Linked DNA regions of Oryctolagus cuniculus. The protein of the gene in region 2 purifies or fractionates together with the protein of the main gene of each other region. This does not show direct contact. Links are inferred from orthologs where the notes say so. Each region holds a gene or a part of one and is shown on either strand. Other genes may lie near its edges.

What was found.
Region 1: the proteins of BSG (region 2) and GNPAT purify together in Homo sapiens (affinity purification with mass spectrometry; 3 studies listed by BioGRID and IntAct, counting the BioPlex papers as one, with this or other methods). This does not show direct contact. The link is inferred for Oryctolagus cuniculus from reciprocal best matches to the Homo sapiens genes BSG and GNPAT.

What each region holds. Positions count from the first base shown.
Region 1 is NC_091444.1:50,819,787-50,829,677, reverse strand, and holds part of GNPAT (dihydroxyacetone phosphate acyltransferase), read right to left. Parts: intron 8,090-9,891; coding exon 7,913-8,089; intron 6,668-7,912; coding exon 6,538-6,667; intron 3,941-6,537; coding exon 3,813-3,940; intron 3,517-3,812; coding exon 3,441-3,516; intron 3,211-3,440; coding exon 3,059-3,210; intron 2,936-3,058; coding exon 2,805-2,935; intron 1,573-2,804; coding exon 1,349-1,572; intron 1-1,348. UniProt on the Homo sapiens protein: Dihydroxyacetonephosphate acyltransferase catalyzing the first step in the biosynthesis of plasmalogens, a subset of phospholipids that differ from other glycerolipids by having an alkyl chain attached through a vinyl ether linkage at the sn-1 position of the glycerol backbone, and which unique physical properties have an impact on various aspects of cell signaling and membrane biology.
Region 2 is NC_091447.1:58,336,640-58,347,214, reverse strand, and holds BSG (basigin precursor), read right to left. Parts: upstream 5,190-10,575; 5' UTR 5,177-5,189; coding exon 5,110-5,176; intron 3,301-5,109; coding exon of another isoform or gene 2,953-3,300; intron 2,421-2,952; coding exon 2,264-2,420; intron 1,932-2,263; coding exon 1,849-1,931; intron 1,769-1,848; coding exon 1,632-1,768; intron 1,541-1,631; coding exon 1,264-1,540; intron 1,096-1,263; coding exon 1,071-1,095; intron 682-1,070; coding exon 615-681; 3' UTR 281-614; downstream 1-280.

The DNA.
Region 1 (9,891 bases), on a different chromosome or scaffold from region 2:
ACAATCTAACCACAGCCACATACTTATCTTGTGTCCCTTACCTACAGCCAGTATTCTATCATGCCCTTGCCACATACAGGCTACAAACCCTATGATCTCACATTTCCTAATCCCTATATGACCAAGGCAAGGCTCTCTCATTTTCCTGACAAGCTTTTATCTTTCCATTAATATCAGTTCAAAAGTTACCATTTCAATGAAATCTTCCCGAGCATGAAATTACACAGTTATTTCAGGAATCCTCTGCAGTGTGTCCACAGCCCCTTGTTTGTATTTCACTAAGCCCCTACAACTGGTTTACACATTACCCACCCGCCACTGCCCTCTACAAACCAGGAGAACCTCCAGGACAGGACTCTCATCTGTTCATTTCTGAATCCCTGGAAGTACCAAGCGCTGACCTGGCATTCCTGCTTGATGAGTGAGCAGAAGGAACCTGACTATAAATAATTACCTTAAAAGAATTACACTTCCAACTGTAATGTGTACAATTTTTATTTTTTATTTATTTGACAGATAGAGTTAGACAGTGAAAGAGAAAGACAGAGAGAAAGGTCTTCCTTCTGTTGGTTCACCCCCCAAAATGGCCGCTATGACTGGTGCTATGCTGATCCAAAGCCAGGAGCCAGGTGCTTCTCCTGGTCTCCCATGCGGGTGCAGGGCCCAAGCACTTGGGCCATCCTCCACTGCCCTCCCAGGCCACAGCAGAGAGCTGGACTGGAAGAGGAGCAACCAGGACTAGAACCCGGCCTATATGGGATGCCGGCACTGCAGGCAGAGGATTAACCAAGTGAGCCACGGCGCTGGCCCAATGTGTACAATTTTAAATCAGAGACTGAAAACAACTTTAGCTAACTATTGTCATATATGCCCCACATTAAAGTATAGTATTTAAATTCCAATGAGGTTTCTATCAAGTTGATATCTGAGAATTACACTAAGTTCTACAAGACTAACCTTTTAATACTTATAATCCAGGGAGGCAAACAGGGAGCTAATCAGCACAGTTTAAAAGAGGTGGGTGGGGATGGAAGGAGTTATGAGAATGCCAAAGATCTGTGTCTTCATCCTCCACTCTGGTAGGTGCCAAGGAGACAACATTCTAACCTTCCATCTATTTAGAACTGAAAAGCGGGTCTGGTCATGTGCACAATTACTTTCAACAATCAACATGGTGTGTTCAATATACCACCCAAGTGATGAAAACGAATTGTTTTTTTCTTTCTCTGAGCAAGGCTCTGCTTAAAGTCCTATATAGGTTTCTCAACCTATATAGGCTAACTTTTTTAAAATCGAGACATTTTTTTTAAAAGTGGGCATTCTCTACATGTATGTCTCACCAACTTACCAGGCCAAATAAGAAATCCTCCAAATGCCTGGGTTAAGCCTTTCAGCCATAAAGTCTTTTCTAACAGAGCATCAAAGTCCATGGATGGCCGGTTCTGAAGCAGAACAGCAACTATTAGGGGCCATGGGCTCAGAACTAGGTTTTCAATTTGCAGAAGCTGCATTTTGTAGGCAACTTCAGTGACAAAGGCATGCATGTCCTCGGATTGCTTCTGAGGAATATACCTAAAATGAAGAACACACAACATCAAATTACAGATCCGCTTCTTAGACAACTGGAAATGAGAAGTACAATAGGAGAAGACAGGCCTTTAGAAGCCAAATACTTTCTGACAACTGAATTCTTTCAGGTCACCTGTAAGCATATATCTCTAGGGTATGCTGTTGAGGAAATATTAAATTATTCAAGGAAATAGGATCCTATTAATTCCCAGTTCCAGACCAAAAAAAAAAAAAAAAACTATATTGCTTTATAATAGAAACCATCTCAGAAAACTAATACTTCCCCAGTAGGATGAACTGCCATCTTTCCAGAATCCAACACTTTGAGCCATCATGCTGCCCTACCCTGCAAAGCATCAGAGCACATGTCAAGCACTACTGTGCTCCTCTTCTAACAGCTTCTTCAGGCATGGTTCACCAAACTGTGAAGTATCTGACAAGGCCTACACAGAGTTAGCTGGAGCAGGGAGACACATGTGACCTAAAAGCAGCCACATAATAAGGTGGCTTAACGTGAAAGTTGTAGCCAGTAAGAGTGGCCAACCCAATTTGAGATCTACAGAGAAAAAGCCTATGAGAGCAAAAAGCTAACACCTGCTTCTGAGAAGACAAATACACCTCCTGGTGAGGTCTTTTAGATCTGTGCTGATACTACAGGGAACAATGCTACAGTCAAATAAGGCCTAACTAGGTACATGGTTTGTTTTCCCTACTTCTCCAGGAGTACGTCTCTAAATTAAGAAAGCCCAAATGTGTATCTATACTTACATTCTGAAAGAACCTAATACATTTTCTTGTCCATAAAACCATAATCTTATTGAGAAGAGGGACTCACATGCATTGTTATGTAATCTTTTCTAGGATCAAAAATAATACTTAGTACATAGTTTGGCTGGCCTAGCAATATGGCTCAACAATACTCATACATATACTTGTTAATAACAGCATTATTCTTCCCTCAAGTTAGTGTCCTAAAGAACAATCATTGTCTCACTTCCTACATTTGACATACATATCTCCACAGCTAGCCATTTTTTCTGGCAAACACATAATTCTTTTTTAATTGAAGCTTTCCATGGATGAAAATGGAATGACAATGCTTCCGTGATAATTTGCTATATGATCTAAGGAAACCAAGTTTCAGTCTTAGAAGTGGTCAACGGAAAAATAACAATTCATACGTTTAGATTTTAGTCCTTCCTGCTGCATCAGATATTAAAACATAGGCCTTGTACCTTGGAACCAAGTTATATGGGCTCCTACTCATCCTCCCAGAGGCCAGAGATCGAAGTGACACAGGGTCCCCAAAGTACACATAGATGCTTCCAAAATTCTCAGACAGAATCCTTCTGGCTTTCAAGAGTCCCTAACATAGTAACACAATAAGGGAGAAGAACAAAAAACAGAGTAAATTCAGAAAGTAGTTGATGTGTAAGTTAGCACATTTTCTAAATTCACATAAAATCAAGTTTGGTTATGTTTTACGTACAGTTGTAGATTCTTTTGGCTTAGGAACCCCTAGAAGCTCATATGCATAAAGAGTTTCTTCTAATATCTTATCATAACTGATGCTAATTGGAACAAGGTAGGTATCAAAAACTTCTCTTTTGAAAAATGGTTCCATCACAATACTCAGAAGACCTTTAAACATGGAGAGAAATGTTTTATATATATTGAGGAGCACAGTACACAAGAGTATACAAACAGGACTAAAGTGTACATTTACACTAAGCCATGAATATAAACAGTTAAACACACTTAGAAATTAAATAATTTCTATAGCCATACAGTGTCAATTTCTATTCAGCAGATATACTTATACTACACCTAAAGTCTTTGGGGTTGTAATTTCTCATCTGTCAGTGACCTACCAAATTTAGGAGTCAATGTTTTGGCAGAGCGGCTTCTTGTCCCTTCGAGGAAAAATTCAACAGGAGCATAACCATTCTTTAAAGAGAAAACACAAACAAACAAAACAAAAAACACAAAACCCATTGCCTACTCTCCAAATGATAAATTCTTCTTTTGACTCCCTTTCCCCAACTCCCTCCCCACCCCTCTGAACAAACACTGCTTATAGTGAAACTTAAATAAGAGAGTCACAGAAACTAAACAGATCACTGAGGTTCTGAACATTCTTTGGGAGGAGGAGGGGAATAGCTAAGTGGCCTATCCAGAAGTTAAGAACTTAGAGCAAATATCAGCGAAGAGAAAATATTTACTTGGTAGTTATTTGCATTTACCCGTAACATAGTTTTTACATATTCAGAGAATACAGCCCAGTAGAGTTTATTGCCACCAAAGGTGCGCCGCATGAAGAAGGCACCTGACATCCTCAATAGCTCACCAATCATTTTCATTCCCAGGAAGTCTAGAAAATAAAGGAAGGATTGACATTTATTTGCAGATCTTGAAACTTTCTATAAAGACCTACACTCAAACACTGTTATGATTTATGTATCTGATATATCCTTATGATATTATACTTTCTAATATTAAAATCCATAAGAAGATACATTTAACAGAATTATGGAAAAGAAGGGACTCTGTGGGCCAGGTGATCATTGGGAGCTTGCCTTGTGCCACCATGTACCATTGCCTTTACAACCAAGCTGGCTAGAGAGCAAGGACAATAGTAGGGCAATGTGACAACTTACAATGTCATGCTGCCAATTTCTTAGCCCTGTTGCTGAGCTGCGTTACAGACCAATGTGTATCTTTCACGCCTTTGAGAGGCAGGCCAAACCAGTTCTCACCTTCCTCACATCAGATAAAAATATCAACCTACTTTTGGTGGAAGAGATTATATAAAGCAAGTCTGAAATGAAGGTAAGAGCACCATTGCTGTTTAAAAACAGCCCTTCTGTTTTTCCTTACTTTTCAAATAAATTCTTTTCTTGTATATTCAGACGAAAGTGCTTAAGTCTCCCACAATTTTTTACCTTCCTATTTACTTCATTTATTAACCAAAATGTATACTTGAATCCTAACCTTCCTGGCTACCTTAAAAGTGAATTGTTAATTTATTTGCCTTAGCAGTTCAACTTGTAGGAATCAATCCTACAGAAATAAAAGCATTAAAACACTGTTTATAATAGCAAAACCACTAAAGTATGATACATTCAGATTGCTAAATATTATGCAATTCTAAATGTAAGATCTACAATTATAAAATGCTTAGAAGAAAAAAGGGAAAAATTTCTTGACATTGGATTTGGCAACAATTGTTTTTAATTTTCATTTCATTAATTAATTTATAAGATTTAACAATTTTTCACATTTTGCCATATTCACTTACTACGTTTACATGAAAACAAATATTTTATCATTTAACATGGGATTTATGACAATAATCATAAAGTGAAAAAAGAAGGGTATATTATTATGTGGAGGATATAATTAAGTGAAGACAATATTTGCGACTATCTATGTACCAAATAATACAATACCCACACATTTATCATAGTTTATATATGTCACCTTCCACAAATGAGAAAGACATATATTTGTCTTTCTGTATCTGGCTTATTTCACTTATTTCACAAGAGTTTCTTGGCTTTTATATCAAAAGCAAAAGGAACAAAAGAACAAATAAACTGGGCTTGCCTCATGGTTAAAATCTTCTGCGTATCAAAGGACACAATCAACAGATTGAAAAGGAACCAAAGGAATGAGAGACAATATTTGCATATCATAAGGGGTAAATATCCAGAATAGGAGTATATAAAGAGTTCCTACAATTCAACAGTAACAAGAAATCAAATAACCCAATTAAAAAATGGGCAATGGACTTGAACAGACTTTTCTCTAAAAAAGGTATACAAATGGTCAATAAGCTCACTGAAAAGATAATCAATAACACTAATCATCAGGGAAATGAAAATAAAAACTTCAATAAAATAGCACTTCATACCCATTAGAATGGTTATTGTTTTTAAAAATCCAAAAAGCAAGTGTTGGCAAACATGTAAAATTGAAACTTTTAAAATAAAAATGGAACTCTTATATATTGTTGATGGGAACATACAATGGTACCACCACCACAGTATGGTAGTTCCTCAAAAAATTAAAAATTAAATATGTGATAAAGCAATTCTATCCCTTGGTATCCATTTGAAAGTAGGATATTTGAAAGTAGGATCTTAAACAGATACGTGTACTTTCATGCTCCAAGCAGTGTTATTTGCAATAGCCAAAAAGCAAAAGCAACCCAACAGTCTACTGATGAATGGAAAAAGAAGGTGGCATATTCATGTAATGGATTATTCAACTTTTTAAAAAGAAATCCTGACACATGCTGCAGCATGGACGGACTTGAGAGCATTATGCTGAGTCAACACCAGTCACAAAAGGACAAATATTTTGTGAGTTCACTTATACGAAGTATAGAATAGCCAAATCCACAAACAGAAAGTAGAAAGGTGGTTGCCTGGGGACAGGGAAGGTAGAATGAGGAGTTGCTGTTTAATGGTCCAGAGTTTCAATTTTTCAAGATGATAAGTTTTGTGAATGGGTGGTGGTAATGACAGTCCAACAATATGAATGTACTTTATGCCAATGAACTGCACACTCACAGATAGTTAAAATGTAAATTTTTATTATGTGCATTTGCTAAATTCTTTATTTTACCATTTAAAAAAATAGTTACATCTATTTATTGATCTACAGATATTCATCAATGTAATATAAAATAAAAAAAGTAGGTAACACATACAGGAAGTTTCATTTTTTAAACCGAAACCAAAAAACCCTGGTGCCTATATGCCTTTATATATCTGTGCAAAGTAAAATACCACACAAAAGCACATAATTCAAACTGTTAAACCCTAGGATTGGAAGGAAGAAGGAGAGTCTATTTTCATCATCATAATCTTCACAGACATCAGTATCAGTAGAATCATTTTATTTTTATTTTTATATACAATACCCACACATTTATCATAGTACAAAAGTAGAAAAGCTACGTACCCATTCCCGCTGCTATAACTGGCACAGGCAAATCATAGTTGTATAAAAGAAATGACAACATGAGAAAGTCAATATAACTTCGATGACTAGGCAGCAAGACAACAGGATGCTCCTGGATGGCTCGTTGTAGCTTGAAAATAAATTTTAGACTTTAAATAATTTCAGTTGTGTTATTAAGATCACATTTCAAATAAGAAAACAGAACAACTCTATGTACAAAGGGAATAATAATCATCTTTATCACCTTACATATCATACACAAACTTAATTGGCTGAGAAGGTAAAAACATTATTTCAGAGTTCTAGTTAAACACTTTCACATATTGCAAGAATATTAAAAATGTAAGTTTTATGGATTAATGATGAAATGAGCACCTTCAGTAATAGGACAGACACCATGTGCTCTCAATACGATGCATTGAGAAGACTACAACATTGCTTCACATTAGATTCACAATCTAATGCAGAGGTAACATAAATCCAAATCAGGGGACACTATGAAATAGTTGGCTTGTTTTTTAAAAAACAAGTATCATGGGGCTGGCACTGTGGCGTAGCAGGTTGGGTCACCACTTGCGAAGCTGGAATCCCATATGTGTGCCAATTCAAGTCCTGGCTGCTCCACTTCTGATCCAGCTCCCTGCTGGTGCACCTGGGAAAGCAGCAGAAGTCCTTGGGCCCCTGTACCCAAACGGGAGACCCAGAGGAGGCTACCAACTTCGGCCTGGCCCAGCTCTGGCTGTTGTGGCCATTTGAGGAGTAAACCAGAAGATGGATGATCTCTATCTCTCCCTCTCTCTGTAACCCTACTTTTCAAACAAATAAAATAAATTAAAAAAAAAAATAATGAAACACAAACAAAAAGACTAAGGAATTGTTCTAAATTAAGAGTTTAAAGAGATAGAGATGCTGAATGTAACGCATGATCGAGGACTTTCTCATCTATGCAGGATATAATTGGGACAACTGCCAAAGTATGAATGAAGTTTGTATTACTAGTACTGCAGCAATATCAATTTATTTTATTATTGCAGCATAAAAGAATATCCTTATCTATAAGAAAACATACAAAAGTATTGGGAAAAGGATAAAGGAAATATTTTTGGGGAATCTAAATTAAGCATATAAATTCTCTGTATTACTTTTGTAATTTTTGTGAGCATCTGACATAAGTTAGGCCATAAAGTTAAGTTAGTGCAAAGTCTGAACTTATAAAGAAAAAACAAACCAACCCTCAGAGAGGCATATCCTATCTGTTCAGAGGGGATCCGTGATGACTAGGCCCCTGGCATTTACTGGCCAAGGCAGACATTTGTGAGTCGACTAAATCATGCGGGGTTTAAGAAGATATTGGTTTTAAACAATCAATACTCACTTTTTGAATACCTTCTTCATTTACACACACCTTTGAGAAAATTTGTTTAAATATTTTGCTCAGGGCAAAAGCAAAAAACCGTATGGCTCCCAGACGCAGTTTGTGGCTCATTTCATCCAAGATCTCACAAACTTCTTCTCGGAGAACATCAACAGATTGAAGTGATTCCATGGAAAGCTATGATAGAAGGGGAAGCAGGGATAAATGTCTTTTAAAGAGGAGGCCATGTCTCTTATATTCAAATAAGTATGACAACAGTTCCAAGTGGACCAATGTGATACAACTCAAAAATGGTGTTTTTTCTATCTTAATTTGATATAATTTACTTTCCAACACAGTAGACAAATGATCCTATTCAGACAAGTTTAAAGGATAGAAACTCAGAGACAATCAGCTTTGTAGTCTAGCATTTTAGAGTAAAGAAAACATCGTTCCATTTGGTTACTAGGTTTACATCCAAACTCTTTAAAATAAGTTGTTGCCTATGATAAGGATTTTAGCAGTTTCTCTCAGTAGATTGCTGCACCACTTTACCTGCTTGCTCCATGCTATTTCAAGGTAATATAAGAGCACAAGCTAAAAGTGACAAATTACACTGAAATAAGCAATTCAGACTTCACCAGAAACAAATTATTGGTATAAAAATTCCTAAACTATCAAAAGGGTAATTATTAAAATGAAACTTTATTTACATAGCATACCACAACTTGTTGTTTTTTAAGATTTATTTATTTGAAAGGCTGAGGGACCGGCATTGTGGTATAGCAGGCAAAGCCACCATCTGCAATGCCAGAATCCCATAAGGGCACCACTTTGTGTCCTGGCAGCTCCATTTCCAATCCAGTTCCCTGCTAATGCTCTGGGAAAGCAATGGAAGAGGTTCTAGTGCTTGGGCACCTATACCCACGAGGGAGACTTAGATGAAGTTCCTGGCTCCTGGGTTCAGCCTGGCCCAGCCCTAGCCATTGCAACCATTTGGGGACTAAAACAGCAGATGGAATACCTCTCTCTCAGTCTGTCTTTCCCTCTCTCTCTGCAACTTTGCCTTTCAAATAAAAATGTTAAAGGGGGGGGGCTGTTGGAGGAACAGGAAAGAGAGATACGTATCATTACATCTGCTAATTCACTCCCCAAATGCTCACAATAGCCAGTGATAGGCAAGGCCAAAGCCAGAAGCCAGGACTGTCATCCTGATCTTCCATGAGTGGCAAAGGCCAATGTACTTGAGCTATCTTCTGCTGCCTCCCCAGGCACATTACCAGGAAGTTGGACCAGAAGCTGAGTAGCTGGGATTTGAATCAGCACTCAGACATGAGATTTGAATCAGCACTCAGAATCACAAGGAGCAGTGTAACTGTACTACAATGCCTGCCCCACCACAACTGTTTGTGTTTTTTTTAAGATTTATTATTTATTTGAACGGTAGAGTTACAGAGAGGCAAAGGCAGAGATAGAGGGAGAGCCAGAGAGAGAAGTCTCCCATCCACTGGTTCACTCCCCAATGGCTGCAACGGCCAGAGCTGAACTGATCTGAAGCTAGGAGCCAGGAGCTTCTTCTGGGTCTCCGATGCAGGTGCAGGGGCCCAAGCACTTGGGCCATCTTCTACTGCTTTCCTAGGCCATAGGAGAGCTGGATTGGAAGTGGAGCAGCCGAGTCTTGAACTGGCACCCATATGGGATGCCAGCACAGCAGATGGCAGACTTTACCCACTACGTCGCAGTGCAGCCCCACCTACCACAGCTTTTTAACTGGGAACAAAATGTTTACTGTATGCCTAGAATTGTCAAGGGTCTGGAGATAAACAAGTCGCAGGTTCAGTTCTCAATGAAGACTAATGTGACTCTTTCCACTTTCTCCTAAACAAGTACTTTGAAAAGGAAGGAAGTCTTTAGGACAGACTCATTCATTCAAAGAATGCTCTGTAGGATGGGATGCTGTAGGCCCAATTACATGCAGTGATGGAGAATCTTTTTTTTTT
Region 2 (10,575 bases):
TGTTGGGGGGCCAGCACCGGGCAGGAAATCCACCCCGTGTGTGGGGGGCGTCTGTGCTTGGCAGGAAGTTCCTCCCATGTGTGGGAGTGGGGGAGGGGTCTGAGCCTGGCAGGAAGTCCCCCACCATCCCCAGCAGGAGTGGGGGGCCTGGGCTCCAAGGGTGGTCACTGTCCCTCCCTCCAGGGACCAGAGGGCCCAACACAGTCCTCCTACCCGCCCCAGCCTGGGATCCCCAACCCCCACAGCCTGGGGCAGCTGGGGGCAGACAAAGCCACAGTGCACGGGTGGGGTCAGTCTTTATTGGGGGACGAGGCTGCCACCCTGCGGGCAGCTGAGGCCCCACAGCTGTCCTGTGCCCTCAGAAGCCAGGAATAAAAATGGAAGCGCAGGGCGTGGCCAGACAGGCTGGAGGCCGGGCCTCCTGTGACCTTCCTCAAAGGGCAGGGTCCCCCCCCCCACAAGGGGCCTGGAGGGCAGGTGTAAGGGTGTGGCCTTCAGCCCTGGGCGGAGCCTTGGAGCAGGCAGGTGTAGGGGTGTGGCCTCCAGCCCTGGGCGGAGCCTTGGTGGGCAGGGCTCAGCTCCTCGCAGCTGCACCCCAACCCGGAGCGGCCGGCTCAGCTGGCGTTCCTCTGTCGGACATTCTTGCCCTTGTCGTCATTCACGTGGTGCCCGCTGCTTTTCCTGGAGACACAGGGCCCAGCTGAGCTCTGACGACAGGGAGCCTGCAGCCTGGTCCCCCATGTGGCCAAAGCCCCCCCCAACCCCCACAGGGCCTGCAGCCTGGGCCCCCTGAGTGGCCAAAGCCCCCCCCCCAACTCCCACAGGGCCTGCAGCCTGGGCCCCCTGAGTGGCCAAAGCCCCCCCCCAACTCCCACAGGGCCCAGCTGAGCTCTGACGACAGGGAGCCTGCAGCCTGGCCCCCCATGTGGCCAAAGCCCCCCCCAACCCCCACAGGGCCTGCAGCCTGGCCCCCTGAGTGGCCAAAGCCCCCCCCCCCCAACTCCCACAGGGCCCAGCTGAGCTCTGAGGACAGGGAGCCTGCAGCGTGCCCCCCCCACAGCGGGACTCACAGTGGCGCGGCACCGGCGTCCTCGTCTGAGCACCACAGCCACGTGGAAGAGAAGGGCAGGGTCAGGGGTCAGTGCTGCCCCCCCTTCCCCGTCCCCACCCCCTCCCTCTCCTGGGCACACCCAGGCCCTGCAGAGCAGTTGAGGGGCGGCTGGGCCTGAGCCGCGGGCGTGGCGCCCCCTGGGGGTCACTCACCGTCCAGCACCTCATCCGGCTTCCGCCGCTTCTCGTAGATGAAGATGACGGTGACCAGCACCAGCACCTCGGCCACGATGCCCAGGAAGGGCCAGAGGGCGGCCAGGCGGCTGCGCACGCGCAGGGTGACCACCGCCGCGTCCGTGCCCTGCAGGCTGGTGCCGTTGCAGGCGTACTCGCCGGGGTCGGAGGTCAGGTCCAGGTCCTTGATGTGCAGCTCCGACTGGGCCTCCGAGTGGCTGATGAAGAACCTGCTCTGGGAGCCGTTCTGGATGACCTGGGGGCAGGAGGCAGGGGGAGGCTGAGGCCGGCCCCACAGGGCGCCCCGTGGGCCCCCCACCGCCCCCTGGCCTGCCCCGCGCCCTCACCTGGTCCCCGGAGTCGGCCACCTTGTACCAGACCCAGGCGGTCACGAAGGGGAAGGACTCCGACTTGCACAGCAGGGTGACCGAGTCGCCCTCGTTGGCGTGCTCCGACTTCTTCACAGCCTTAATTCTGGGGGGCCCTGGGGGGAGCCAGAGGGAGCCTCGCACCCCAGGCGCGGCAGGAGCCCCACCCGAGGCCCCCAGCATGACCCCCGCTCACCGTCCACGGTCAGCGTGGCCTCGCCCGTGTCCTTGGGGAGGAAGAGGCAGGAGTACTTGCCAAACCTGTCGTCCCCGGTCACGCTGCGACAAGACAAGCGGCTGTGAGCCTGGGCCCGTGGAGGGGCTCGTGCAGGACCCCGGGCTGCCCCCCGGAGGAGGGTCCGGGCTGAGACCTGGCCCCCTGCCCCAGCCCCCGGGAGGGAGGAGGAGGGTCCGGGCTGAGACCCGGCCCCCTGCCCCAGCCCCCGGGAGGGAGGAGGAGGGTCCGGGCTGAGACCCGGCCCCCTGCCCCAGCCCCCGGGAGGGAGGAGGAGGGTCCGGGCTGAGACCCGGCCCCCTGCCCCCTGCCCCAGCCCCCGGGAGGGAGGAGGAGGGTCCGCCTGGGCGGCCCCGGCCCCGGCCCCCGCACTCACTTGTGCTCGGTGTGCAGGCCCTGCAGCTGGTCCTCCTTCACCACTTCCTTCCCTTTCAGCCAGCGGTGCCCAGTGACGCCCGCGGCGCTGGTGTTCAAGGTACAGGTGAGCTGCACCCAGGAATCCCCGCTCTGCACAGAAGTCGTCACGGTGCCCGCTGGGAGACCACGGCGAGAGGTCAGCAAGGGGCAGGAGAGGAGGGGTCGGCCCTCCGCCACGCCGAGGCCTGGCTCAGAGGGTGCCCTCCGGAGGGCCCTTGTGCACGGGGGTGTGGCCCAGGCATCAGCTCCCGGCTAGGCTAGGCTAGGAGCAGCCCTGCAGCACGCCCACACCTCCCGCCCCGCCCCGCTCTACCCCAGGCTCGACACAGCGGCCTCACGGTCAGCTGAGCACGTTCCCATGGGAGGTCCGGAGAGCCTTGAACCTGGGCTGACCCAGGGAGCAGACCCAGCCCCACCGACCAGGACAAGAGCCAGACAGGCGCCCACGGAGGGAGGGAGCACGGATGGAGCGGGTCGGAGCGATGGACGCATGGGCGGACAGGACGGGGGCGAGGGGCCCACCCGCATCCAGGCCAGAGACTGCTCAGGTGGGTGGGAGGGACAGAACCGGGCAGGAGAGGGCCTGGGCTCTACTGGGTGGGAGCCGATGGCACAAGAGGGACACTGAGGCAGGTCTCTGCCACTCACGTTCCAGGACCGCCAGGCTGGCCTGGGCACGGACCCACTTGACCCTGGGCGGCCGGGTCAGGTGGTTGCGGTCGGGGTCGTTGCTGGCCCGGCACTCGTAGGTGCCCGCGTCCTCGGCGCTGAGCTGGGCGATGGACACGGTGCTGGCCGCGTGCTCGCGGTAGGCAGCGTGGATGTGCACGCGGCCCTGCCGGGCGCCGTCCCAGAGCTGGGAGCTGCCGTCGCCGGGGCCGTCCCCTTCAAACCACCACTGGATCTCGGGGACCGGGCGGCCCACGGCCTCACAGTGCAGCTCCACGCTGCCCCCCGCCCGCCCCTCCTGCGACAGTGGGGGCCGCACAAAGCCAGCTACGGGGAGAGGGCGAGAGCGTGAGGCCCCCACGGCAGAACAGGAGCGGGCTGCCCCCACGGAAGGCAGGGCAGGGGGAGCACACGCATGTCCAGCTAGGGCTGAGCCCCTAAGGTCACGGGACGGGCGCTGGGCTCTGCGAACAAGGCAGCTGTGGGGACAGTGAGGGGCGCAGGGCCCTCTTGGCACGGACACCCGGGCCATCATCGGCTTCCTTATTTGAACACAACAGAGGGTCCTGGACACTGCCTAGGCGGACAGGGGCGGGCAGGGGCTCCCGTCCACCCTCCCCTGGGTCCTGACGCTCCGGCCCCAGGTGCCCTGGGGACGAGGCACCTGCCTCCCTGGCCCGCCTGGAGGCCGCTGGACCAGCCCAGGTGGCCTCCAGCAGAAGGACCCCTAGCTGCAAATCCCACAGCCCTGGCAGAGCTGAGTCAGGCAGGAAGTGAAGCCGAGGTGCCCCCCGAACACCCCGGCCGCCTGCAGGTACCGGGAGAGGCCGTACTAGCCTGGCCGCAGCTGTCCCAGCCCCGGTGTCCAAGGTGGGGAACCGGCCGCCCCTCCACAGGTCTGCACCACCTGGCGCTCCCCAAGGGACAGACGCAGCCTCCGACAAGAGCAGCTGGACGTCAGGGGGACACTGGTGGCCCAGCTCCCTGGGGTGAGGCCCCTGGCCGCCCCAGTCCACGCCACATCCAGCCCCAGGGTCAGTCTCAGAAAAGCCACAGCTCCACTCGGCCCACGTGATCTGCAACTCAGGTTCAAGTCACCTTCACTAGAGAGCGGCCAGGCGGGCAGGGGGCCAGGCGCGGCCTCGGTAAACAAGCCCAGCCTAAGGCGGGGCCGCTCGGGAGGGAAGGGCCCCACCCGCTGGGGGCCTCGCCTCTGCCGCCCCACCCTCAGCCAAGCCTCCCCCGGAGGCCAGAGGTTAAGCGTTTGCTCGGGGCGGGCCAGAGTGCGGCCCTCCTGGGCTAACCCCCGCGGGGGCCCGCGGCTGTGCGCCTGGAGAACAGAGCTGGCCAGGCCCCGACCCGGGGGGACAGGAGGTGGCCAACCCAGCGCGGCCAGGCCCCGCACAGAGAGCAGAAGCGTGCACGGGCAAGACCCGAACACCCATATAAGGCGCCCGGGAGCCAAGTCGGAAGCAACACCCCACCACGCACCGTGCGCCCACGCACACCGCCGCTCCGCGCAGGGCTGAGATCCCGCACGGCCCCCGGCCCCGGGGTACGGTCGACTAAGCCCGGCAGGGCCAGAGCGCGCTCCGCGGGGGCCCCGCAGGAAACCCGGCGCCGCCTGGGGCTCCCTCGCGCCCCCCGCGCTCGGTCGAGGCCGGGGACCGGGAAGAGGAAGCCGCCGAAGTGGGTCAGCAGCGGCCCGGGAGCTCCCGGCCGGGCCCTGGGGCTCCACGCGGGGCTCCCCCCAGCGGCCTGGGCGACCTCGCGGTGACCTTGGAGACCCACCCCCAACAGGCAGAGGAGGAGGGGGCCCGCACGCCCGCGCAGACCCCGCAAACGCGGGCGCGCCGCCGGCCAAATCCCCGCAGGAATGATAATCCCGGGGCCCAGCCTGCCCGGGCAGCGGCCGCGGACTGCAGCCGAGGGCCACGAGCGGCGTCCCACGCGGGGGTCAGCCCCGGCCGCGTGCACCGTGGAGGGGGACGGCGGCCCCCGAGACCCGGGGCCCTGCTCTGCAGGGTGGCCGCCCTCCCGACGAGGGCCCGGGCCGGGACCCCCGGGGCGGCGGCGGCTCGTAGCCCCCCCGCCCCGGCTCGTAGCCCCCGCCCGCAGCCCCCGAGCGGCGCCCACCTGCCGCAGAGGCGCCCCCGGCGCGCAGCAGCGCGAGCGCCAGCAGCGCGAACAGCACAGCCGCCATGTCCCCGCCGTCCGCCGTCCACCGAGCGCCGTGCCCGCTGCCGGCTACGGCCCCTATAAGACCGGCCGGGCGCGCGTGCCGGGCGCGCGCACGCAGGGCGGTGCCCCGGGGGCGGGGCGCGCACGGTGGTGGTGGTGGGGGCTACGGGCGCTCCGCGCACGCGCACACACGCACGTACGCGGGCGCCGGACAGGCGGGCGGAGGCTGCGGAGGCCGGGGCGGGCCACGTGACTCCGGGCGGGCCACGGGACCCCGGGGGCGGCGCGGCGTAGCGGGGACCCCGGGCAGGGCTCGGGGGCTAGGGTGCGCGCTCAGACGCGCACGTTCCTGCCGCACCCCTGCTGGGGACGGCGCTGGGACCCCCCACGACCCAGACGAGGGCCGCAGGCCGCGCGCGCGCCCAGGTGCCGTGGAGTCGGGGTGGAAGTTAGGCGTCGGCGCATGCGTGCGAGCGCGGCCTGGGGAGGGCCAGGAGTCGGGGAAGCGCCCCGAGTTTTACCCCGCGGGATCCCGCCCAGGCCCAGTACTGGACAGGAGGCCGTCCTGTGCCCGGGGTTGCGTGGGCTCCCCGCGGGACAGCGCTGAGCCGGGGAACCTGGGGCGGGTGCCCCCTCCGTCACTCCTGCACCCCTCCCCTGGGGCGGATGCCCCCTCTGTCACTCCTACACCCCTCCCCTGGGGCGGGTGCCCCCTCTGTCACTCCTGCACCCCTCCCCTGGGGCGGATGCCTCCTCCATCACTCCTGCACCCCTCCCCTGGGGCGGGTGCCCCCTCTGTCACTCCTGCACCCCTCCCCTGGGGCGGATGCCTCCTCCATCACTCCTGCACCCCTCCCCTGGGGCGGATGCCCCCTCCATCACTCCTGCACCCCTCCCCTGGGGCGGGTGCCTCCTCCATCACTCTTGGACCCCTCACCTGGGGCGGATGCCTCCTTCGTCACTCCTGCACCCCTCACCTGTGGCTGAGGAGGGAGGAGCGCCGCACAGTCCGCAGTCTGGGTGCAGATGAGCTGCGGTCCCTGTGTAGCCGCACGGCATTGGCTTCCCTGGGTGGGTGGCGGGCGCGGGTCCACCCGTTCCTCCCCTGGGCTGCCTGCCCCTTCTGCTGCTGCCTGGCCGGCCACGCCTCTGCCTTCAGGATTCTTCCTCGGCTAAGAGAACGGGTTCCCCCATCCCCGCCAGCAGGTACACCCGGAAAGCGCTCGCTTTCTGCTGTTTCAGTTGTATTTTATTTATTTGAAAGTGGCAGGGGTGGAGTGAGGATGGGCCAGAGCAGGGGCCCGGGAGCTCCATCCGGGCATGGGCGCCGCGTGGTGGGTGAGCAGGAAGCGGGGTGTGCCCCAGGCACGCCGACCTGGGCTGTGGCGTCCCCTCACTCCATGCCACTGCCATCAGCCCTGTGTGACAGCCCAGGTCCCCGGGGGCCCTGCCTCGCACGCGGGAGACCGGGATTGGGCTCCCGCCTGGCCCAGGCTGTGGCAGGTATCTGGGGAGTGAAGCAGCGGATGGAAGATTTCTCTGTGTCACTCAGCCTTTCAAATAAATCAGTAAAACCTGTGCGAAGTCTACGAAGGCTCTGAACAGGCGTCCTCAGCCAGTCAGCAGGTCTGACCAGCGGGGGGCAGGGCGGGCTGGGCCTTTGCACCCTGCCGCTGGGGACACGAAGTGGTGCCTGGAAGAGCAGAGCCACTGCTTAACCCTGGGGTCACAGGCCATCGACAGGAACAGGGCCATGCATACCATGCACCGGGAGGCTCTGGCCCGGGACAGTGTGGCGGTGTTAGGCAGCCTCTGTGTGTAGGGACAGCCTGGAGACCAGCACCTTGCACTTCGAAGCCCTGCTCGGACCCTGCTCGGACTCCCAGCCCTTCCCCCAGGAGACTCCTCTCTCAGGACCACAGGGGTTACCTGACCTGATAACACGGGGCAATAAAACCTTCTCAGACGCCCCAAGGGAAGTCCCTCTGCCTTGCCTGGCCCCAGCAAATCTGGTGAGGAATTTGCTAGTTTTCACCCAACAAACCCTTCCACCAGGGTTCTCCTTTGTCCTTTGTCCTGGAGGAGAGGGGAGGTGGGTAAACAGACTTCCTTAAGCACCTCGGGAGCCCTCTGCCTCTCTGCTGAGCCGCCCGCCCGCCTGGGCTGCCCAGGTGTGTTCACTCAACCACGGAACCTCACTCTCCCCCGGTCCCAGCGACTGGGCGCGCGCGCTGTCTGTCCCCAGTGTTCTGACGGGTGCCCTGTCCCCAGTAAAGCCTCAGCACTCCGCTCTCTGTCTCACGCCTGAATTCTTTCTTGCGTGAAGACGAGAACCCACGGCTTCCACAGCCTTTCCTGCAGTAACCGAGGGGCCCGAGGACGCCACGGCCATGCCGTGGAGACACAGACACAGGGGCTCCAATGACGGGACCTCACAGGGACGGGAGGGGGATTCGCGGTTAGCCAGGGCCGACTGACTGCTCCTGGAGATGGGGCTGCTCTTTGGGGGAAAGTGTGGGCACCAGTGAGTCTCCAGGGAACACTGGGGGATGTGAGTGACCGGGGCAGGGGCTCCCGTGTGGCTCTGTGCTGGGGACGGCACCTGGGCTGACACAGGAGAGGCCACAGGCAGGGGTGGATGGAGCCCGGGGTGCCCAAGGCTGCGCAGAGGGCCTTGGACAGAAGGCGGAGGCCAGAGGAGCCGCTGGCAGGGGCAGCAGCGAGCAGGGGCCTGGAGTGTCCCAGCCGCCCCTGGAGGCCTGCAGGGAGCCAGTGGCTACGTGCAGGACATGAGGCCAGGAGGCTGCACAAACAATGGCGGGTAGGGCGGAATTCCTGCCCCCTGCTGGCCCTCCCAGAGCCCCTGAGCACTCCAGGGCTGCCCGGAAGCCTTGGCCTTTGTTCCCAGAACCGGGGCAGCAGCTGCTTTGTCTGAGACCCAGTTTTCTGGCCTCCTCCCTGGAGGCCCTGCCCACCCCGCCAGCCCCGCCAGCCCCGGCCAGCCCCCAGGTCCACTCTCCGCAGCCCTGGCCCTCTGCTTCCTGGAGCTGCTCCCAGGTCACCTGACTTCGCTGGTGCGAGGCAATTTCAGGTTTTAAAGAGCTAGGTGAGGGCAGGCTCTCTGGAAGTGGGCTCACATCCCGCATCTGTGCCAGTGCCGGCTGCTCCACGTCCGATCCAGCTCCCTGCTGACGGCCTGGGGACGCAGCAGAAGGCGGCCCTGGCCCGAAGTGGGAGGCCCGGATGGAGTCCCGGCTCCTGGGCTCCACCTGGCCCAGCCTCAGGTGTCGTAGCCATCTGGGGAGTGAACCAGAGCGTGGCAGACCTACCTGCCTCTCTCTCTCTCTCCCCCTCCTCCACCTCTATCGCTCTGCCCTTCGAATATACGAAATGCATAGCATTACAGAAAAGAGAGATGTTACTTGGAGCAGCATTTGGTCCAGTGCTTACGCTGTCTCCTGTGCCCCCACCCCAGCGAGTCCCAGCTCTGCTGCTCCAGCCGCTCCTAACACAGTCCAAGGAAGCAGATCCTGCGCCCTCACGGGGACCAGGCTGGAGCCCCCAGATCCCAGCAGGCAGCAGATGGAAGATTTTTCTCTGTCTCTTTCAAGTAAAATGAAATACATAAGTAAACATTGTGTTTTAAAGATTGGTTTATTTGTTTTGAAAGAGTTACAGAGAGACCAGAGAGATCTTGTATCCACTAGTTTCCTGCCCAGATGGCTGCCATGGCCCGGGAGCTCCATCCAGGTCTCCTGTGTGGGTGCAGGGGCCCAAGGACTTGGGCGACCGTCTGCTGCTTCCCCAGGGATGTTAGAAGGGAGCTGGATCGGAGGAGGAGCCAGGACTCGAACCAGTGTCCTCATGGGATGCCCGTGCTGCAGGAACTGGCTTTACCTGCCATGCTACAATTTTTTTTTTTAAGATTTATTTATTCATTTGAAAGAGTTACACACACACACACAGAGAGAGAGAGAGAGAGAGAGAGAGAGAGAGAGAGAGGTCTTCCATCTGCTGGTTCACTCTCCAACTGGCCACAACGGCCGGAGCGGCACCGATCCGAAGCCAGGAGCTTCCTCCGGGTCTCCCCCACGGGCGCAGGGGCCCAGGGACTTGGATCATCTTCCACTGCTTTCCCAGGCCATAGCAGAGAGCTGGATCGGAACTGGAGCAGCCGGGACTTGAAGGGGCACCCATATGGGATGCCGGCACTGGCACTGCAGGAGGCAGCTTTAAGGGCTAGGCCACAGCACTGAAAAGAGAAACTTCTTTACAAAGCAAAGAGCGGGCCCACTTTTTAGTATACAATGTATTCTTTGGTATTTGGGACAAGGCTACTGTACAATTTCCTGCTACACAGTTAGAACCCAGGATACGTGTTGGAGAGGCAGTGTCTGGGGTGGCAGGGGGCAGCAGTCAGCCGTGCAGCCAGGGCCTTCCCCCGAGTCTGGGGTCTCCAGCCCTAAGCCCAGTCGGGCGGCGCCGGTCTCTCCCCCCCTAGCATCCGGGTCTTCCTGGAGCTCCGGTGTGTGGGGGGAGAGGCCAGGCCATGCCCTCCCCGCTGCCCCCCAGGCCCGCAGCCCAGCCTCACCAGGCCTACCCTCCCCCAGGTCCCTGCCGGGACCCCTCCCTCGCTTGTGGATCCAGCCCACTGCAGAGGGCTGCCAGGGGGAATCCCTTCTGCCCTGAGGTCGTGGGCTGTAAACCCCTGGGCGGAATTTCACCCTTTGTCCCAGAGGGAGGCGAGGGTGGGGAGTTGGGGGCGGGGACCTCATTCCTGCCGTGCTGGCCAGCGCCAGGCTTGCCTGGCCGGGCAGCGGCGCTCTGTCCAGGGCGCTGTGTGACCCGCCTTCCCCGGGCTGCGCGGCTGGCCTCCCGCTCAGACCCTGGCCGGGCTGTCCATCCCTGTCACCCTCCAGGGTCCTGATTCCTGTGAACGCTTTCCCAGAATGCAGCCTCTTTCCCGGAGCCCAAGGCACGGGGGCCCAGGCAGGACTGGGGGCTGGGGTGTGGGGAGTTGGCCCCCCAAAATCGTGACGGCTTGGCAAAAGGGTCTTCGTGGCTGTGACTGAAGTGAGGGTCTCAGATGGACCAGTGTCCAAGTGAGAATGACACAGACTGGGCCAGCAGCCGTGGGAGTCCCACCAGCTGGGGGTGGGGGGCAGGAAGGCACCTCCAGCCTGCACGGTGGGGGAGGGGGAGGGGGAGGGGGCGGTTACAGACCGGCTGCCCCAGTGTTATTGCCGCGGCCCGCCCAGCAGGCGGGGCAGCCACCTCCCACCTCTCACCTCTCACCTCCATTGTCTCCCCTCAGATGGACCGAGCTTCTGCACAGCCACAGAGACAAAGCAAAGCCCCCTGAGTCGGAGGGAGCTGTGGGGGGCGAGGGGGCTCTTCTTAGGTGTCCTGGGTGCTGGGCTT